Coturnix japonica: one gene and its partner. The protein of the gene in region 1 binds, or shares a complex with, the protein of each later gene. Links are inferred from orthologs where the notes say so. Each region holds a gene or a part of one and is shown on either strand. Other genes may lie near its edges.

The links.
Region 2: TCTE1 (region 1) and EFCAB2 share a complex: the UniProt entries of both Homo sapiens proteins name them as parts of the nexin-dynein regulatory complex. The link is inferred for Coturnix japonica from reciprocal best matches to the Homo sapiens genes DRC5 and DRC8.

The regions. Positions count from the first base shown.
Region 1 is NC_029518.1:27,138,973-27,148,902, forward strand, and holds the start of TCTE1 (dynein regulatory complex subunit 5), read left to right. Parts: upstream 1-4,125; 5' UTR 4,126-9,930. Other genes in the region: AARS2 (alanine--tRNA ligase, mitochondrial), read left to right, coding at 390-498, 1,272-1,397, 1,793-1,903, 2,705-2,788, 2,897-3,007, 3,381-3,545. UniProt on the Homo sapiens protein: Component of the nexin-dynein regulatory complex (N-DRC) a key regulator of ciliary/flagellar motility which maintains the alignment and integrity of the distal axoneme and regulates microtubule sliding in motile axonemes.
Region 2 is NC_029518.1:31,173,307-31,183,165, reverse strand, and holds the start of EFCAB2 (dynein regulatory complex protein 8), read left to right. Parts: upstream 1-3,831; 5' UTR 3,832-4,158; coding exon 4,159-4,183; intron 4,184-4,382; exon of another isoform or gene 4,383-4,404; intron 4,405-9,859. UniProt on the Homo sapiens protein: Component of the nexin-dynein regulatory complex (N-DRC), a key regulator of ciliary/flagellar motility which maintains the alignment and integrity of the distal axoneme and regulates microtubule sliding in motile axonemes.

The DNA of each region.
Region 1 (9,930 bases):
CAGACCAGTGGCCTGTGTGTGAGCTGATCTGACAAGGGAGTGGAAGAGCTGGAGATGAAAAAATGGCTTTCTACAAGGTTCAGCAACAGCTGAATAGAAGGAAAAGATCCCAATCCATCCTACTGCTTGAGGAAAGAAGAACTTTGCTACTATATATATTTGTCAGTAGCCTGCTGGGAATGTAGCGCAAAGGTTCTTCTGGAGTAGCCTCAGCTCTGCTGTCTCTTGCCTGACCAGGTGCCATCAGGAGTTTAGGAATGAAAAGGTTTGAAGCTATTGGGACTGAGTAGAGGCTGCTCTCCTGGAGATGTGGCTAAAATGAAAGCAGTCCTCTTGATTTCTGTTCCCTGAGAGCAGCTTGTTTCTTCCCTGTTGTGTTAACTTTGCAGACACCTTCTACAGACAGGAGCGATGGAGGATCTAGCCATTGTCAATGAACGTCAGCTTGTGAAAGGGATTAGTCGTGTCATTGCAGTGACGGGGAGACAAGCCAAACAGGTAAGAAAGGAAAAACCGAGATTTCAGCCAAATCCAACTTTGTAGGCTCCTGTTTAGGCAATTAACTTTCTTGTGCTTGTGCTGGAGCTTCACTACTATGTCTGATCTCACTTCCTCTTTTACCCTGGGACACAGTTCTGCTGCTTTCCCTCACTGTTCACATCCACTCCCCAGCTGCCCTAAGACGTCTGTCTCCTTGACCTTCATTCTTTCCCTCAGACCCCCTTTTCCAAGATAGAAATTTGGCACAGAGTGTCAGGAAACTTCTGGGCTAGAAATTTCAATCACTGGGCAGGTATTTGAAGGTGTGATCCTTTGAGCTTTGGTTTTACCTCCTACCTATCACAGCTGGACACGTGTTTTATGACTACAGGGTTCTGCCCTCATTCTTACAGACTTTTTTCTTCTCCCTATAGTCTCTTTCTTGCCAAACTGTAGTTCTGATCTGATTGGGTCTGTATAAAAAAAAGTAAGCAACCTATTATTGTTCCTGTGAGGTCATTGTTGTCCTTGATGAGGACTTTTTGCTGAAGAAACATAGCTACGTGACAGCTTTGTCCTGCAGGTGTGACCATCTAGTATTGGCTTCAGATCTAGAGAGGAACTCTCTATTCCAGAGTCTCTTGGGGACAGTCATTCTTAAAGCTTGACTGTAGGTGTCTTCCCACTGGATACTTAGCAGCACTTCAGTGCCACCTCCCTCTTTTCTCCATCCCTGATTGATTTTTTTTCTGTTGCTGCATCTGAAACATTTTCTCTCTCCCTTTCTCTAGGCCCGAGAAGTAGGTCAGTGTTTGGCTATGGAAGTGGACTCTGTCTCAATACGGATGAAGCAGAGGGGGAGCGCCTCTGTTCTTGAGATGCAGAACCTCTCCAAAGAAGTGGGACAGTTAACCAAAGTAAGGATTACATTCCATCCAGAAAGACCCCAGCATTGGCAGGCTCTTGAGGCAACATGACTTCCTTAGGATGTTCACATACTACCATAGTCAGTAGAAAGGAGTTGCTACTTGCAGGTGCCTCTTTGTTCATAAAGATTTCAGCTAGTATCTTGGTGCCTTTCCTCCCAGAGGAGGCAGCAGTGGGGAGAGTTAAACAGTAAAAAGGGGTTTCCAGGCTTTCCCCAAGGTTTTAGATGCCTAGCTGAAAAATTGCTGCAGTGAGTGACTGGCATGATCAGGTATGTGCATAGGAAGGTCTGGAAAGAGAACAGGCTCCACTCTGAGCTTCCAGAGAGCAAGCATTTTATTTCTAGGTACAATTCAGTATCTTTATAAAGAAGACTGTCTTGCAGGTGGTGGCTAGCACTGCAATGCCCCAGTGGCAACGAAAAGAACTACAGAGCATCCTCAAATTGCTGCAGCGAACCGCCAACACGGCCATCAAGAAACTGGAGGTGCAGCAGGTAGTGTGACGGCAGCGCACTCACTGTAGCTTGCTAATAGCACTGCATAGTGTCCACCACTGAACCTCATGTTGTTGTCACAGTTCACTGCAATTCAGTGTCTGGAGTCTCATCAAAAGGCAGGGGGAAGTGGATGCAGTCACACAGCGCAGTGTAAGCCTTGTGTTGAGTTGATTTCACTGACAGGACTGCTGTTTATAATGTGCAGTGACTTGACTGCATTTCTGTATGTGCAAAATCCTGGTGTCTGTCTACCAGTGAGGACAGGGCTTCTAACAAATACCAACAGGTAGATAGATATGCATTGCCTACTTGCTAATGGATGGAGAAGATGACATTGCCCTGTAAATGGTCTTGACAAGATCATGTGGTAGAGTGGCAGAAGAGCCTTTCTCCCATGCATATGGATGTTGCTGATTTCCTTCTGAATCTGTTATTAATTTACATGATTATATTAAAAAACCTTATGAAATTCATATTGCAGACTTAATGTTCTCAGTATGATCTATCCTTTACTTAAAATAGCAGTATCCTGCCATGGAAACCTACCTTGATACATGTGGCAGTGCAGAGGCCAGGGAGAGAGTCTGAGAACTGAACGTGTCACTGTCCCTTCTGAAATCTGCTTGCTTTTGAGGCAGGAGGATTGTACAGGTCTCCAGACATATGCTAACATAAATCTCCCCTGTCGTACAGAACAGCACTTGCATTCCCTGTATACGTGTGTTGCAACTTATATACCCCTCCCGGTCACCCTGTGCCACCTGTAGCCCTTCAAGTGCTGTGTGTTTCTTCCTCCAGGCTGAAGAGAAGGCACAAAGCCTGCTAGCAAAACACTGCAACCAACCTGTCATTATTGATACTGTCCCAGCAGACTCCCTGTCTGTAAGTAAAGCACATTATTTGTTGGCCCAGCAATACTTAAGATGCTGGATGCAGCCAATGGTAGCTACGCAGCAGTCTCCTGACTCTGCCTTTTCCTTCCTCTCTTAGATCCTAATGAAGGTAGTGAACCAGCTTTGTGACAAGTCACCTGGCACATCAGTCCTGCTGCTCAGCCCTCAGGATTCTGGGGAGGTGCTCTGTGCCTGTCAGGTGTCCAAGGTAAGCAGAACCCTGGCAGAATCCCAGGGAAGCCTTCCTGCAGAGGAGGACTGGGTACACTACTCACTAGGTCCCAGCTGAATTTTTTCTTGGGTTTCTACCCAGTGTCACTGATGAGTTATGTTGAGGAATGACCCAAGATGACTGTACTGGGGCCAGATAATCTTTCAGTTTTTGCTGGGCACCAATATCCCTGGGTCATCCAAGACATGTTTGCCCAGTGGTAGGATGTAGAGCTAACACGTAAGCTCAGTCTCCTCTCAGTCATGTCTTCCCCAGGTAGCGAGGGTCCAGGCTGGGTGAGGGGAGAAAGATGTTCCTTCTTCCATGCTGCAGAGTGCTCCACAGACCAAAGTGTGTGTCTCTTCCCCAGAATTGCCTCCCCATGTTCTCCGCTGCTGACTGGGCCGTGGCTGTCTGTACACAGATGGAAGGCAAGGCAGGAGGTTCTCCTGTTGTCGCTAAGGGCAGTGGAAATGCCAAGGGCATGCAGGGAGCCCTGACTACTGCACTGGAATTTGCTCAGAGTAAACTCTGAAATGTGTGTGATGCTTTGGTGGCAGGACAGCTGTAAGCTGTGTGGATACTTGATGCAGAGTGCACGTTATACTGTGCAGAAGGTTTGACAATTCTCACAGTGAGCCCTGCTGCAACCACTGCATTGGAGCACTTGGTGTCTGGCCATCAGGGCTGAGCAGTGTCTGTTCCTGAAAGCACTGACAGAGCAACGCTGTATGTTCTCATCATGGGTATATGGTGATTGAGCCTCAGAAGGCACCAGCTTCTGGAACAGTGCAGTTCTTGCCACAAGACCAGCACTGGGAGGTTCTGAGAACATGACTGTCGTATCCCAAAGTTATTAAAGGATGGAGAGTGTTTGATCCCTCTAATGTTATGTTGGTGTTTTGTTTTTCTTCATATCCGCACCTTTTTCCCTGTAAGCCCAGAAAGCTTATATATGCTGTAAAAATAAATATATGCTGTAGTCTAAGCAGTCCCATCTTGCTAAAGGATACACCAGTCCCTGATAAAAATGCTACAGTAACTTAGAAATGGGAAGAGAAGTTCTTGCCTGTGTGCACAACCTTTTGCCTAGCCTATGCAATGGTTAGTATTGTAGTCAGGCCTTTTTGTTAAAGCACAAAGGGAACAGAATCATCCTGACCTCCACCTCTTTGCTCTGAGTGCACATTCTTACACATTTCTTACTTCTGCTCCTTTTTAAATCCTTTCCTCTCAGGTTGCTTCCTCAGACTTCCATTGTTAGAATGACGCCTGGAGTTCTTGGCCAGAAAACCTTTGTGTTACAAACTGGCCTAAATAGAGAGGTCATGGGTGGTAGCTGATAGGGAGGTGCAACTGGGTAGTGATACAGAAAGGCTTCACCCTGTGAGCAAGAACAGCAACCTGGCACAGATGAATTTCAGCAGCAGATAGGGCTGCCTGGTGTGGTGGAATTAGGAGGCAATAGCTACATGCTTTAGGGGGTGGGAAGAACAGTGATGTTAGTGGGTGAGGAGCAGAAAGAGGGTAGTTATGTTAGGATGTTTGATGCTATGGAGGAAGGGTACCCCCACAGTGGTGAGGCTGATGAGCTAGGAAGTGAATTTTTAGCAGATTTGGTAGACTGATACAATAAGCTTCTGGTAGCTGAGAGCAGACTGTTAGGTGGCCGAGGTAGGCAGGGTTCTAACAGTGCTGCATGGCTGGAACAGAACTGAGCTTCACGTGCATGACCCAGCAATAACCCTTTGGTCAGAGGGATACAGCAGTGCACTTGCACACAGCTGCTACTCTCAGCTTAGGTTTGTAGGGCAAGCTCAGCAGGCTGATATATTTGCCTGTTGCTCAGTTGTCACATAAATAAGGCAAAGTAAAGAAGATATAGTGGGAAATGACTGCTGTGAGCACGGCCTCCTCTCCTCAATGAACAACAGTTGACCCAGGGGAGAAAGGTGGTGGATTTAATTGTGTTTAGAGGATGAGGGATTTCCTTCCTCATCTCAGCAGCTGTCCAGTCCCAATTCTAAGACTTAGTGTCACTCCTACACGTCTTTTCTTAGTACCTGTGGCTGTGTAAAGAGCAGGAGCTCGCACTTGGTTAAGTGCCTGATATTGATATGAGGTTGGTGGTGCTCCATACTATCTTGCGTTTCACCATAGTGCTGACAGCCCCTACATCTGCAGCAAGAGGATAGACCTTCTCCTCCATTAATCATTACTTCCATCCAGGGAGTTTAAGGTAGAGCTTTTAGTAAAGGAGACAGCGAGCCGAGGTTCCTGGACATCAGGATGACTGGGACAGTTCACGCCATCGGTTAAAAATACTGTTAATGCCTGTTGTGGAACAGCTGCTGTGTTTCATCCCAGCCACAGCAGTACCAGGTATGGGGAAGGGAAAGGATGCTCTGTGTTACTGGGAAAATGCTTTTCTTGATTGCTTCCTCATTCATAAAAGCTGCTGCTAGAGATGATGCCTCCTCTTGGTACTGGAGAGTAGGTGTGTGAGGAGGAGGAGAGGCTGAGCTGCTTCTGCATCATGCTCCAAAAGCAGAGCCTGAGCTTGCCAATAGCAACCTTATGGATTTAACCTCCCTTTGTGCTTTTTTTGTTGTTTAATTTCAACTTTAAAACTACTGGCACCTTGTAAATTGTTGCCTCACCCCTTGATGTGCAGGGATCCGTGTGCTGACCTTCAAGGTAATGTCTCTGCAGGCAGAGAAAGTGCAAGTCAAGCCCCCACCAGTGTTCACCTGGCCAGCCAATGGCTGCTGCAGCAGTGACTTCCAGAGCAGTGGTGGTGTCCTCAGGGGCTTTTTGAAGGACTCCTCTCCACTGCAGGATCTGATGGGCTCTCAGCACTGGGGAAGGAGCCTGCTGAGATGAGTGGGCAGCAGTGACACAGCTTCATGGCTTCCTAGCTCTGCTATCCCCCTCCTGTATTCTATGGGAAGAGTGGCTCCCCAGATACAAGGTGGCAGAGCCAATCCCACCATGAGAAATAAACCCTGGGTGTCCTGAGCAGAGGCACTAAGGAAAAGTTTCCTCTTTCTGAGCCTGCAGGGATTTAGATGGGTCATCAACAAGGTTGCAGCACAACCAAGTTGTGATCTTGCTGTAACTCTGTAGCACAAAACCTGCTATGTAACCGAAAGAGAGAAAGCATCTCATCCTACCAAAGAGCAGCTGTGTGGAGGCACCGGTTTGGTAGCATGGGCTGCTGCAGTAGAAATGCTGGTTTCTGAGATGTGGCTGTGCTGGACCATCACTGATCCTAAAAGAATAAATTCCATGCTATTCTCCTAAATCCCAGTGTACAGGACTACATCCTCTTCCTGCCATTTTTATTCCACAAGACAACACGCATCCAATGCTACGGACATAGCCACCATCTTTCTGTATTTTAGCAGTAGGTAGAGCAGTGCTCAGCTAGGAGAGCTGGAGGGGATGAAACATGAGTTTTAAATATAGATCTCTCGCCAAAATAGCAGCTTGCATTCCCTTACTAGAGATCTAAGGTGCAAGCAGTTCTCTGTGCACGCGTTGCAACTCCAAACAGCACGGGCTGCATGCACACACACACACACAGGACAGTGAAAAGCAGGAACTAGTTAATAAGTGATGAGTTTTTTTTTGCTGTGAACAGGTGCTGTCAAGTAGGCAACTGCTCTGTAAGTCCAGATGGACCCCCAAGGTCCTTGAAGGGCGCATGTGAGTGCCGGCCCGAATTCCAGGCAGCTACCTGACTTTGTGTGAAGGACCAACCACACACATTAGGCCTTGCCTAGCTGGAAGAGCTGCACAGATGGGATGAGAGCTGGGGCTCTGCAGGCTACATAACCCTCTAGCCTAGCAGCCATGGGTCCCTGTCCTGCTCTCTGATAGAGCAGCAGACCCAGCACAGGGCTGGGGTTGCAGGGTAGGGAGCCCTAGATGGATTGGGAGTATCTCCAAAGAGAGCCTGCTAGGGAGGGCATCAGGAGTACCTGAAAGGCAGCCTGCAGGGAGAGATAGGACAAGTCACTCAGGGTTTGCTGAGGAGAGGAGCTGGCAGCAGAACAGTGAGCACAGGCTGGGTTTCTCCAGCTGCATGTGTAATCCCACGAGGGCCATCCCCAGCATGTGTCAGGGACATCCCCAGGACTCCTGGCATTGCTGCAGGCCTGTGTTTTGAACAGTTCATCGAGCCAACAGGAAGAGCCAAGTTGGATGTGACCCACGACTGTCCAGCTACCTCGGGGCCAGCAGAAGCTGAGGACCACTGTCACACTCAATAGCAAGATGGGTCACTACTTATAAACCACCACAGTGACATCCCTTCCTAACAGCAGCTGAGGAGGAAGGAAAAAATAGTGGAAACAAAGGGAGGAAAGCCTGTGGGGAGCATCATGCTGCCTGCCATGAACAGCCCCTGGCCCAAAGCACCTCTCCAACCCTGGCCCTGGTGGCCAAGTCCCAGGTTCATGGCAGGGCACGAGCCAGAGCAGCACAGGTGTTTCATGGGGGGATCCCTGAGCTCACCTGTGCTGCCTGCCCTTCACAGCTGGCCAGCTCGCTTTGTGAGGATGACCGTGCTTTGCAGTCAGCTCTGGTGATTCAATTACAGCCGGTGTTTCTGCACCACTTGCTGAGAGCAGCAATTGATGGGCTGCAATCCGAGCTCCTCTGGAAAGCATTGGGAAAACCCAGAAGGTAAGCACAGCTACAATTGGGCTGCTGCTGCCCACCACATGTAATGTCTCCCCTGAGATTGCAGAGGGGCCGCAGGGAGGCCTGTCCTGTTGTGTTGGGGCAGGCTGAGTGCAGCTCTGCACTGCACCCTGTGCCCTCATAGCTCTTGCAGTCCCTCCTGCAGGAGTGCTCCAGAGTAAGCTGTGAAGTCCCATCACTTGCAGGCATTCAGGGCTCCTGTGGGGGCTGTCATTCTCGAGGCCCTGCTTCCATTTCAGCCCCAAGTCCCCCCCCCATGCTCTCAGCTGACCACGACATTCCTGAGGCTGCACAGACATGGGGTTGCTATTGTAGTCCTTAACACAGGTCCTGGTATCTCCATCTCCCTCTGATCTTCACCCAGCCTTCCCTCACACACTGCCCCATTCCTTTACACCAGAGGTTGCGTGGGTTACAGCTCCAGGAACAGGAAGATAAATCAGAAGCTACGTAGACCTTCTTTTCACATGGTGAGGAATTATTTACACTCGGGTTGGGATTTGCTGCTCTACTAATTTTGTTGTCTCCTCACTTGTCCCACATTGCAGCCGCCGTTCCCTGCCCGCTCCCTTCCCTCACTGCCCCCACTTTCACGCTGCTTCCCCCAGCCCACTTTGGCCCAAGGAAGGTGAGTCCTCACCTCAAATATCACTGAGTTTAACAGAGAAAGAGGAAAGGAGATGCAAAACCACCTGACCTTTAAAACAGCCACGTTCTCACATTTCCTCCCCGCCTCAAAGCAGCTCTTTGCTCTGCTGTAACCTTCTCTTCCCCGTCCCAGCATTTATTTATAAGTGCAATCAATAATTAAGGAGCTGCCTGCCTTCCTCAGCTGCAGTGTTGACAGAGGCACTGCTGATGCTTCCTGGCTCATCCTGGCTGCTCTGCTCACTCAGGCTTTTAATTCTCTCTACTGCCCAGCTGGAAACACAGCGGCAGCCCACCCAGAGATGGCAACAGCAAGACCAGCCCTGCCACGCTGAGCACTCCCTGTCTGCAAAGAGAATCCAGGCGGATTTCCCTGCAGAGAGGACAAGAGGGCACGAAGAGGGGGCTGGGACTCTGCCACCCATCACTGTAGGGAGGGCGATGGCAGCTGGCAGCTCCTCAGCCCTTGGCACCAGGCCATGCAGCCCCGGCAGGGATGAGGTGCAAAGGGGGGAAGAGGGCACCGAAGGACAGCATCAGCTCAGCAGCTCTCAGCAGTGAGCTCCCAGGCTGTCCTACCCCATCAGCATCCTCCTGCCGCAGCGACCGCGCTGACATTGTCCTCATTGTGTTGGGCTTTGTTTTCCCACAAGGAAAGTGGGCACTGCCCTCAGCTGGAGCAGCCCCTGGGTCTCTGAGCTGCTGTCTAGCAGCCATGTGAGGGAAAGGTGCTGTGCTGCTTTGCTTGAACTTCCCAGGTGCTCACAGTGTAAAACCACCTGGGCTGGCAGACTTGATTCCCCCCCCCTGCTCCATGTCCCTGCACAGCACCTAACCCTGTTGCAAATATTTCACATTGATCAAAGCACAGCACAACAGGGAGAGGCTGGAATTAGGGCAAGAGAGGGAATGATATGCATCCACAAGCTGAAATGCACATCATGGACTCCCAAAGCAACTCAAGTGACCATGCAAAGTGAAGGAAGTATCTCCATGGGGCTCTGGAAAACAGCCTCCCACCAGCTCTCATCCCCAGCAAGGGAAGGGAAAAGCTTCACACCTGCTCTGAATGCTGTAAAGGCTGCAAGAAACACAGCCAAGAATAGAAGGTTCACCAGATCCTGTCCCTCCTCCGCATGGAAATCCCACCAGCAGCCACAGGGCTGTGGCACCATCCCATCACACAGGAACAGGAAGGAAGGCTGGCAAAAGTGTTCAGTGATCCCAGTGACCTTCCTTACAGCCCAACCTGCTGCAGTGAGCCCTAATTCTGAGCATGATCCCTTAGCACTACCAACAGGCTTGTCTTCCCCATTCCCACCAAGGAGCTGAGCGGCAGCGAGGGGACTTGTGCTGCATGGAGCAGAGCTGAGAGTCCTGCTGCAACACAGAAGTGACAGTGGGAGACCCCAGAGCTAACAGAAAGGCCCTGGTGCCGTGATGATGGCATTTCCTGAGTATCAAGAGCCAGCAGAAGGTGTCAAAGTCCCTTGAAGAGAGAAGGAACTGCTCAAGGGGCGGCCAGTGCTCAGCCAGCAGCAAGTGTGGCCGCATCCTCAGTTTTA
Region 2 (9,859 bases), about 4.0 Mb from region 1:
ATGGCAACCTGGGTTGCTAGGCAGATGGATTATTGTGTTTTGTTCCTGCCACAGTGTTCTCAGAGATCCTGGCTTCATTTCTAGATAGAATCAATGGTAATAAAGTCTGAAGGTTAAAATATATGAATCTCTAGGGCCAGTTCTGCTCTTGGGTGAGATGGGGAACAGCAACCTTGCACTTGCATATAAAAGTGAGTTTTTTCCTGCTGCAGCTCCTCGGGCATAGTCCCGGGGGCTAAGCACTGTCAGTAGTTCCTTGCCATTGAGGAGTATTGCTGAAAAATGCATGTTCAGCCACTTTTCCCCAAATGCAACTTTCCAAAAACTGGACAGGAGCATCTAATGATCCACAGGATCACAGCTATATGTAAACAGCAAGTGGTACTTGCCAGGACAGTTGATGATGCCATCCATTGGAATGAAAATGATTTCAGATGCTGCCACTGCAAGCATATTTTGAACCTATATTTCCCTTCCTTCCAAGTTTTACTTACAGACTTAGCAAAAAATGGAGTTTACCACCTCTAAAACAACAATTTACCCTTGCTGCCTTTGTCTCTATTTCTCTCTCACTTCTAATTGCGTGATTCAACTTCCTGCTTGTGCCAGTCCAGATGCTTGACACACCCTATGCCAAATTTCTTAACATGGCAGAAGCCTATTCAATTTTTGATGGATTGTTCTTCTGCTACTTCAGTGACTCATATCTACTCTCAAGGAATGGCACAGCCAGCATGAGGTAGGAGGTTGCGTAGCCAGCAGTAAAGATAGAAGAACAAAAACTGAAGAAAGAGCTGGATCCTCCCCCTTTTCAGCATCAATGAACTCTCCATGTCCCATGGAATTGTATCTTCTGATCAGATTTTTGGCAAACCTTTGGGCAAAGAAGACAGAAGAGAAACTGCAAGGAACAAGGTTTGAGTGAGTAGATGTGTTTAGATAATACTTTGGTTTGAAGAAGCTGTTTCCAAATCACTCAAATCAGCAGTTGATCCCAGAGAAAGAGAAGAATGGCAAAGCCAAATGCAGCTGTGTCATTCATACTGCATGGGTGAAAAATGGTTCCGCAATGTGGAAACAACTTCTCATTGGTAGGGCGGTACACTTAGGGCCACAAAGGAGTTAAAAGCAGACTCCTGTCACAGAATCATAGCTATTAATTACTTTATCTGTGAAGGGCAAACAAACACACTTATTTACGTCTTCATTTTCATGGTCCAATGGATCCACAGAGAGAGTTCCACAGTGAAGGTCTTCAGCAAGTGGTCAGAGCAAAGATGTGCCCAAACACTACAGTCCTGAAATCATGGGGGCAGTGAACTGTGGGGCATTACCATCACTCCTTCCATTTCTCTATGTTCTGTGTCACTTCTCCTATTTTAGAGATGTTTTTATGCTGAGCACAATTTCTAAATGTACTCATGGAAGATATACAAAACGTGGGATAAGTCTGCGATAACTGAGAGGAATATGCGTAATTAAAAGAGTTACAGAGGCAAAGGTACCTTACCTCTATTGGACGTCAGTGGATTCAGTCTTCAAATCAATGCTTGTTCTGTACATATTTTTCCCTGAGATATTTTTTGACATTTTTAAAAATGAAAAATTACAAGCCTAAAAGGGTATGTTCTCTTCAGAGGAGCTCTTTAAGGATCTTGCATGCAGCAGCTGATATTTCAAGCTGTTGAATTAGTAGTTCTGGGTTCCCTTTTGTACTTGCCTGTGCCAAAATGCGATTAGTTGTTTCAGCCCACTCATACCCTTGGTTTGAGATGTCTGTGCATTAAGTTAGAAAGGAAACAGTCATGTGGTTCAGGTCCAATATTTGATCTGCATTATAATTGTTAACATTTCTTTCCTACATGTTGCCAGGAGATTTTAAAGCGTTGAGTTCTCATTTTGAAGTGCTTTCTCATTCTGTATTTTATTCTCTGGAGACAGACAAGACACCAAAGCCCTGTATGTCAGGAACTGGGGGAAGAAAGGGAAACAGGTGCTGACATTTGGCTTCAAACTATTCAAAGCAAAAGGAAACTCCAGCCTGGAGCAGGAGATGCAGACTTACAGTCATTGTCCTGACTGGAATCTCAGTAACATGGGCAAGAGATTGTGAAATAGTCCTTGCTGAAATTAATAACAGCTGTAAATGACAAAAGATTTTGTACCTAGGCTAAGGGTGCCAAACATACAGAAAAAATATCCAGGATTTGACCAGTACTATTATATACTTGGAATAATGCTCTCCCAAAGGAGCGATTGTGGCAGCTAATGAGGGTCTGAGTCAGCTGCTACAGTAGGTCTAAGTGTGGCAAACACAACATGTAGTATCTGTTGCAGACTTCAGTATTTCCCCTTTCTTTCTGGATTTTACACGTTATTGTTTAACTACCATAACTCTTGGAGGAAACTGGGATAAGTGTGTGTCAGATATAGTGTGTGAGGAAAGCCAAGCCCAAATACTGCTGAGATTGATGGGAAGATGATAAAATAAAGTGGCCTGAGTGAAATGACTCTTACTATTTCATGTTCACAATGGCTCAGATCTACACAAAAACTGCTGTAGAAATACAAGAGTCTCAAATTTCCACAGCAAGCAAAATGTATTTCAAAGATGAATGTTGTCCATATTTTGGGCATGGGCTGGGCATGAAAATCTGAATGAGTGGAAAATCAGTTTTTAAAGCATTCATTAGGGGAATCTTGTGAAGACTTTGAACTAACATTCATTTTTTATAAATACATCAGCATTTGTAGAATTGCTCTGCATGTCCTGTGATGAATCAGGTGATCTGGAAAATGACACAGGGAATCTAATCCTTGGGCACAACACTGAAGAACATAAAATTTCACGCTGAGACGATGAGAGAAGTAATAAGCAAGCTCTGTGTTTGTCAAACAATGTATTTTGTTCTTCAGTTTCAAATACATCTACCACAACAGATCAACAACCAGCAAAGACGAAGGTTTTGTGTTTGGAGACATTGAAGGAACAAGAAAGGGGATTGCATCACAGTGAAAGATAATGGCCTTTCCTTCTGTTACTGTTACATTCTCTAGATTAGGCTTTTGCACTGTTATCACTCAAACTTCAGTTATCTGCTTGAGAGGAAACAAATCCACATTACCCATGTAGTCAAAACACATACTTGGAAGTACTCAGTTACTTTAATAAACTGTTCAAGTCTATAGGTAACCATTTGGAGGGATCAACTTTGTTAGAGAGCATAATCAGCTGTTTTCCCAAGAGACTAACACTGTACGCTCTGTTGGGTATATATTATACCCTATATTATACCCTCTTTACTCTGAGCTACGCACAATATAAACAGTATAAACAAATAGCGCCTACTGCGGGGAAGACAGTGCTTTGGTTCTAGGAATTTCCTTAAAACATTAGTTCCTATGAGTATATGGTTGCATCTTGTTGGTATGCTCATATTTGCATTTTCTCCACTTCCACAATCATTTGTTCAGAAGAACTGCGCATTGCAAGTACATCTGCTAAAATACACGGCTATATTTAAACTGCGTTTTATTTAATATCGCTGAGAATATTTTAGCTGTTTCAAGAGTGACGATATTTAGAATAAAATGTTCTTTCACTTTCTGAAGCTCAGATGCAGAAATCTCTGCAATTGCTGGGAAGACTTTTTTTTTTTCTGTGAACCAGCAGATTGCTGGGGCTCGTCCAAGTCTCCCTGCCAGGACAGTGGTGCTTGTGCCTGCCGATGCCACCCGTGCCAGGTGTGTCTTCAGCGGTGGGTTCTGTCACTTTGCCATGACAGGGAGTGACACCCCAAGCATTACTGGTCCCAGCTGGGAGGGAGGGTGGTGGGTTACAGCTGCAGCCTCCATGCCTGGGATCCGTGTTTGGGTGCGATGGATGTTTTGGAGCATTAGCACCCAGGACTATGGCTGTCACTCACTGCTCTTGAAACCACGCAGTGCAGTAGTTAGTGCACTCAAAAAATCACTGCACTGCTTCACTCAGCTTTTATATGCTTTTTATTTCAGCGGGCCCGGTGACTGCTTCCCAGGGCGGAGGGCTGCCAGCTCAGGCCTGGCGCTGGGGGCCAGGGGAGGCCGCGGTGGAAGGAGGGGAGCGCCCGCCGGGCCGCTGCGCCCCGCGTCGCCACGGCGACGGCTCGGGGCTCGGCCATGGCGCAGGCGGTGAGCAGTGACGGTAAGGCCGGGCACGGGGCCTGCACAGCGGCCTGCGGGACGGAGCGCGCCTGGGAGTGGGAAGCGAGGGGCCCAGCCTTGGGTGACGGCGTGGGGCGGGGCCAGCCCTCCGCCAAGGAAAAGCGATCCCGGCTGACTCTCGGGGCTCCGGGGCTTATTTTTAGAGGGAGGCGTGTTCTGCTTCAGGAAGCGCTGCCAGAAAGTGTGATTGAAAGGCGAGAGGTAACTCCTCCCGCAAGGGTGTCCCAGCGTCGTTTCCAGAAGGTTGTGCACTCTGAGCAGCTCGTAACAGTGTCGCTTCTGAGTGCCGTCCTTTGTGTAAATAAACACGAGAACGTGGTAATAAGTCACAGATTGAGAACACTGTAACTAATAAGTTATTTCGTATTAATGAGTAAAAGCACAATTTTCTGTGAAAAACCCACAACAAAAAGTTGTGGGTAATGCTGAATGAGGAGTTTTTCTGATTGCTTGATCAATAGCTTCTAATGCATTTTTTTAGTTCGAATGTAATTTTAAAGAAGTTGAAGCGCCGTCTTGCTGAAGACACACCCTTTTGTTGATTGTTTTTTAATTACTAGAGGTAGTTTATCATCCTGTAAAGAGCTGTTCCCAGGAGACCACCACAAGTTATCTGCTAGAGGGAAACTGTGCTGTCAAGAATTCCATTCCTGGCCCTTCCTGACAGATCACAGGAAGGTGGCAAGCTGGGCTTTGATTTCCTGCCTGTAGGGAGAAGACAATGACTTGTATCTCATGGATAGTGTGAAGACAAGGCATCTAGCTTCCCTTTGGACACTCATGAGAATCCTACACTTTTATTGAGCAGATGATTTCCTTAATGCCTCATAGAGGTGTCTCATCACCAAGGCAAACTAATATTCAGTGTCTCACCGAAGTGCAGAAGCATCCCATAAGAGGAGATGGCTTATCTCCATGTCAGTTGCTCTTAGACCTCCTGCAGGTAGCAGTTAGGGGGCTGATTAGAATCCTCAAATCCTGGATTCATGCAGCAATTGTGCTTCTGACAAGCATTTTACATAAACACAAACTGCAGCTTTTACTTTGTTGTGTCTCAAAGAGAAGAACAGCATTAGTTTTATTGTCGAATAATTAGTCTTTAGGGTATTCCCCTTGGTTCTTGGTAGAACTGTAGTTCCACCTGCTTTTGTGGTAAACGTTTCCCTTAGGTCCTATTATTTTCAAGTTTGTCTTCATCAAAGTTAAAATGCTTACCTTAATGTTTAACAGATATACTGGATGTACACAAGAAAAAACAGTGTAAGGCCAAGTCTTGCAGCCTCTTTTGCATGACATTGATAATGTGTTACCCTCTAGCTTACATAATTGCGAATAAAATCTTGCATGTGTGTGAGTGCTAATATCATGCCCATGATATATGGAGCTGTATGTTTTATGCATGAATTTGTATTCCTGCATTTGTGCTTTCAACGTTATTTAATTATTTTTTTTTCTTTATTCCCATCTGATTACATTACACTGCTTCATCTTTCTCTTTTGTGTATTTGTCTGTATCTTTCTTCCCATCGTTCTGTTTCTTTCCCCTTTTTTGCTACTTAATTCCATCTGTCTGTTCTTCCATTTGTTCTCAGGTACTTTCTTTATAATTTCACAGAACGTGTCAGATTTTCTAAGTTTCCATCTCTCTGATCTCAGTGCCGATGTTACTAGAACCTGAAAGTAAAATGTCAGACCAGTAGTGCCTGAAGTAAAACTAGATGGAAGACAAGACGTATTTTTCTCCAGCTGGGATTTAAGAAATTACATGGAAGTACATAAAAGAGAATGTTCAGTGTGGCTTTATCATTATGGTAATACTGTGTATGTGATCAGTATGAGAGTTTTATACACACTGTATTCTTTGTGCTAGTTAGCACATACTTAAAATACAATTAATAAGTCATGAATTTGAATCCAAAAGGAAGTAGATGAAATATTCTGAGCTCCTGTTGCACACCTTTATACCCATACAGAACTGGACGACTGATTCTGGGTAACAAAGGTCTTCCAGAAACATAACTGATTGTGATGTGAAGACTTAAGGAGATGGTTTATAGCCATTCTCTGATGAGGATTTTCTCTGGTAAATAGTAGTGATTCTGGGGAATTTAACTTACTGCTGCAGTATGTCATTAGTCCTCACAGATCCTTTTCCCAACTTGTGAAAAACTCACAATAAGGTTGTTAGTGGAGATGGGAAAGAGTTTTTACCTCTGCTCTAGAGCCTTATGAACTCTGCTGAACTCTTTCCAAGAGATCCCCGTCTTTTTTGTACTGGGGAGCCCAATACAGACACAGTACTTCAGATGTGGCCTCACCAGGGCAGAGGGGGAGGATCACCTCCCTTGACCTGTTGGCCATGCTCTTTTTAATGTACCTTTTTGGCCACTGTCGTCTACCAGGACACCCAGGTCCCTCTCAGCAGAGCTCCTCTCCAGCAGGTCATCCCCCAACCTGTTCTGGTGAATGCAATTATTTCTCCCTAGGTGCAAGACTCTACACTTGCTTTTGTTAAACCTCATCCGGTTTCTTACTGCCCAGCTCTCCAGCCTGTCCAGGTTTCGGTGAATTCTGCCCCTGTACTCAGCATTGGTGAGGCCTCACCTCGAGTACTGTGTTCAGTTTTGGGCACCTCAGTACAAAAAATACATGGAGGTACTAGAGCAGGTCCAGATAAGGGCAACGAGGCTTGTGGAGCACTTGGAAAATCAGCCCTATGAGGAGAGGCTGAGGGAGCTGGGGCTGTTCAGTCTGGGGAAAAGGAGGCTGAGGGGAGACCTTATTGCTCTCTTCCAGTATCTGAAAGGTTCCTACAGTGAGAGAGGGGCAAGTCTCTTCTTACTGGTGACAAGTGACAGGATGAGGGGAAATGGCCTCAAGTTGTGCCAAGGTAAGTTTAGGTTGGACATTAGGAAACACTTCTTTTTTTTTTTTTTTTTTTTCTTAAGGGTGGTTCAACACTGGAATAGGCTCCCTAGGGAGGTGGTTGAGTCACCATCTCTGGGTGTGTTTAAGAGCCGTTTGGATGTGGTGCTCAGAGGTTTAAGATTGTTAGGGTAGTATGGTTAGGCTGCGGTTGGACTTGATGATCTTTGAGGTCTTTTCCAGCCTGTGTAATTCTATGATTCTATGATTCTCTGGCAGCTCCCTCAGCACCCATGGATGCACCCCATCAGGTCCCATGGATTTATGAACATTGGTGTTGCCTAGGCGCTCTTCCTTGACTAAAGCAAAATCTTCCATTCCCCAGATCCTCTCACCCTTTCCTGATTTCTTGTTCACAGCTCCAAGTAGGGTCCCAGAAGAGATCAAAGTTGGCTCTCCTAAAGCCCAAAGTAGCAATCCTACTTTTTGCTTTGCTTCTTCCACTCAGGATCTTGAACTCCACCATCTCATGATCACTACAACCCAAGCTGCCCCCCACCTTAACTTCCTTAACAAGTTAAGGTTCCTTGTTAGTGAGAATAAGGTCCAGTAACTCCCCTCCCCTTGTAGGTTTCTCTACCACCTGCATCAGAAAGTTGTTATTTGTAACCAATAGTTGCACTCACAGCTCACTTAACTAACAGGACAGTTTCAAACCTGACTCAGCAAAGTGCTTCATCTGTGTACAGCGTTGGGGAATCCCATTGAAGGTGACAATACGATGCACATGATGTTAAGTACATGAGTCCATTTAAGTGTCCTGCTGTACTGAGGATTGTAAATTGCTTTTTCTTTTTTTCTTTGTGGTTTTCAGGGGTTAAGCGTCAGCATACAAAAGTACAAAAAGCTCCAGATTAAACACTTGCAATGAACCTTCAGGCTAAAGTAGTTCAGTGGGTGAATTATCTCTAATTGTAAGAGGCAGTGTTTCTTTTGAAGAACAAATAGAACATTGGCATACATTGTTAAAATAAGTAGCTTTCATAGGGCTCAAGCAAGGAATATTTCAGGTGTAGAAGAAAACCCAAATATATGAGATCCCTTAAAAAATCAGTGTATAGTCTTACCACTTGAGGATTTAGAGATGAATACTACTTCCTTTTGTTGGCATCGCTGTGAGAAATTGTTTGAGGAGGAAAGTTGATATCTTTTATTAGGTCGTAATACAGTTTAACATGCGCCTTGACATCAGTTTGAGTTATGTTTTAATATTTGTACTTCAGACTGAAACAAAGAATAAATTGTGCCCATCTTTTATAGATCAGCACAGGCTGCAGATGTCTCATCCTCTTGGCTGTAGTCCTGCACTAGAAGTTATCTCAAATGCATGTAGAACAGGTACTTGCAGATTGGCAGATTTCTTGTTTCCATGGCACATAAAATAGCAGAAGTTCTTCAGTCTGGCTGTACATCTAACTGAATTACTGAGTACAAAATGAGCTGGTTTGCAGAAAGGCTTTAAACTTTTTTTGTCTCTCAAACAATGCCAACCAGCAGATACACAGCACTGATAGCTGGAGAACTCCCACAAAGTCTCTCTCTAGCAGTAGTTAACTTGTTATTAAGAATTTCCATATCTGCATGCTAATTTTTCTGAGATCTGAGGGTTTATTTATTTATTTATTTGCAAGCCACCTTAATTTGTGTGAGCAGGTACTGCTTTGTTGCTATTGGCAGTGGGGTTTGGCAGGGTGAAGGTGAGGGGCAGTAACTGTGGCTACCGTGTGAGTATGCAGGGACCTGGTGCAATGTGAAAGGCAGGGGCTTCCCAAACCCAAACACGGCCAGCAAGGGTTTTGAGGTTGCACTGTGTGTTGGTCCCATGGGATGTTTTTATAAGTGGCCTGTAAGGTTGAATAATATGAAGATGGTAGCAAAGATAATTCAAAAGGTTATTTGTAAAGGAAAACTCACCGATGGCTGCTGCATACAGCCATTGCTTTCAAAAACTTATCAGATTTGAAGCTTTTTGAAGAAGTTCCATCTTGGGCATCATTTCTTGGGCAGCTTGGGGGAGTGTGTAAGGCTGTGAGTGCTGGAATTGTCCCCTGTGGCTGTGTAGAGTTCAGAAGGAATGGAAGCTCTGCCTTCAGAGAGCACACATTACAACAGCACAGGCTGCTTTCTGGCCCTGTGGCAGCCTATGTTAGCTCTTACTTTTCAGCAGCAGCTGAAGGTATAGCACAACTCCCAGTGTTGCCAGGAGAGCTATATATCCTTGCAGGGCAGTTTGCCACTGGTGATGAAAGAGAATATGAGTATGGGCTAGACATAACTCTTTCATTAGCTCCCAGGTGTAGCTGGGATGAAAGATATGGAACAAATTGCAGCAGTGGAGATTAGAGTTTTTGCTAGCTCTGAGCTGCAGCAGGAGTGCTGCCTGGTACAATTGCCAGAGCTGGGAATTTAGGGATGCACAGGACGCCGCTAATGGAGATTTATGCTGAGCTTATCTCTGCCTGATGAAAAGGAAGACTGCATGAAGCTGGTATTGACTTCAAAGAAAGTGTAGCAATTATTTTTTGCAGGCTAACAAACCTCAAGTGCTGTCATTTCTTTCAGATCACTCTAGGAAGGATAATGTTAAGACTTTCCTCAAGAGAAGTAGAAGATAGTAATTGTATATTACCTGTGAATCATGTGTACAGGAAGCAGTCCACATCTATGTGAAGGTCTTTCTCCATCTCTTTCAATGTCTGGAAGCTATCTCCACATAGGACACATCTTGTTC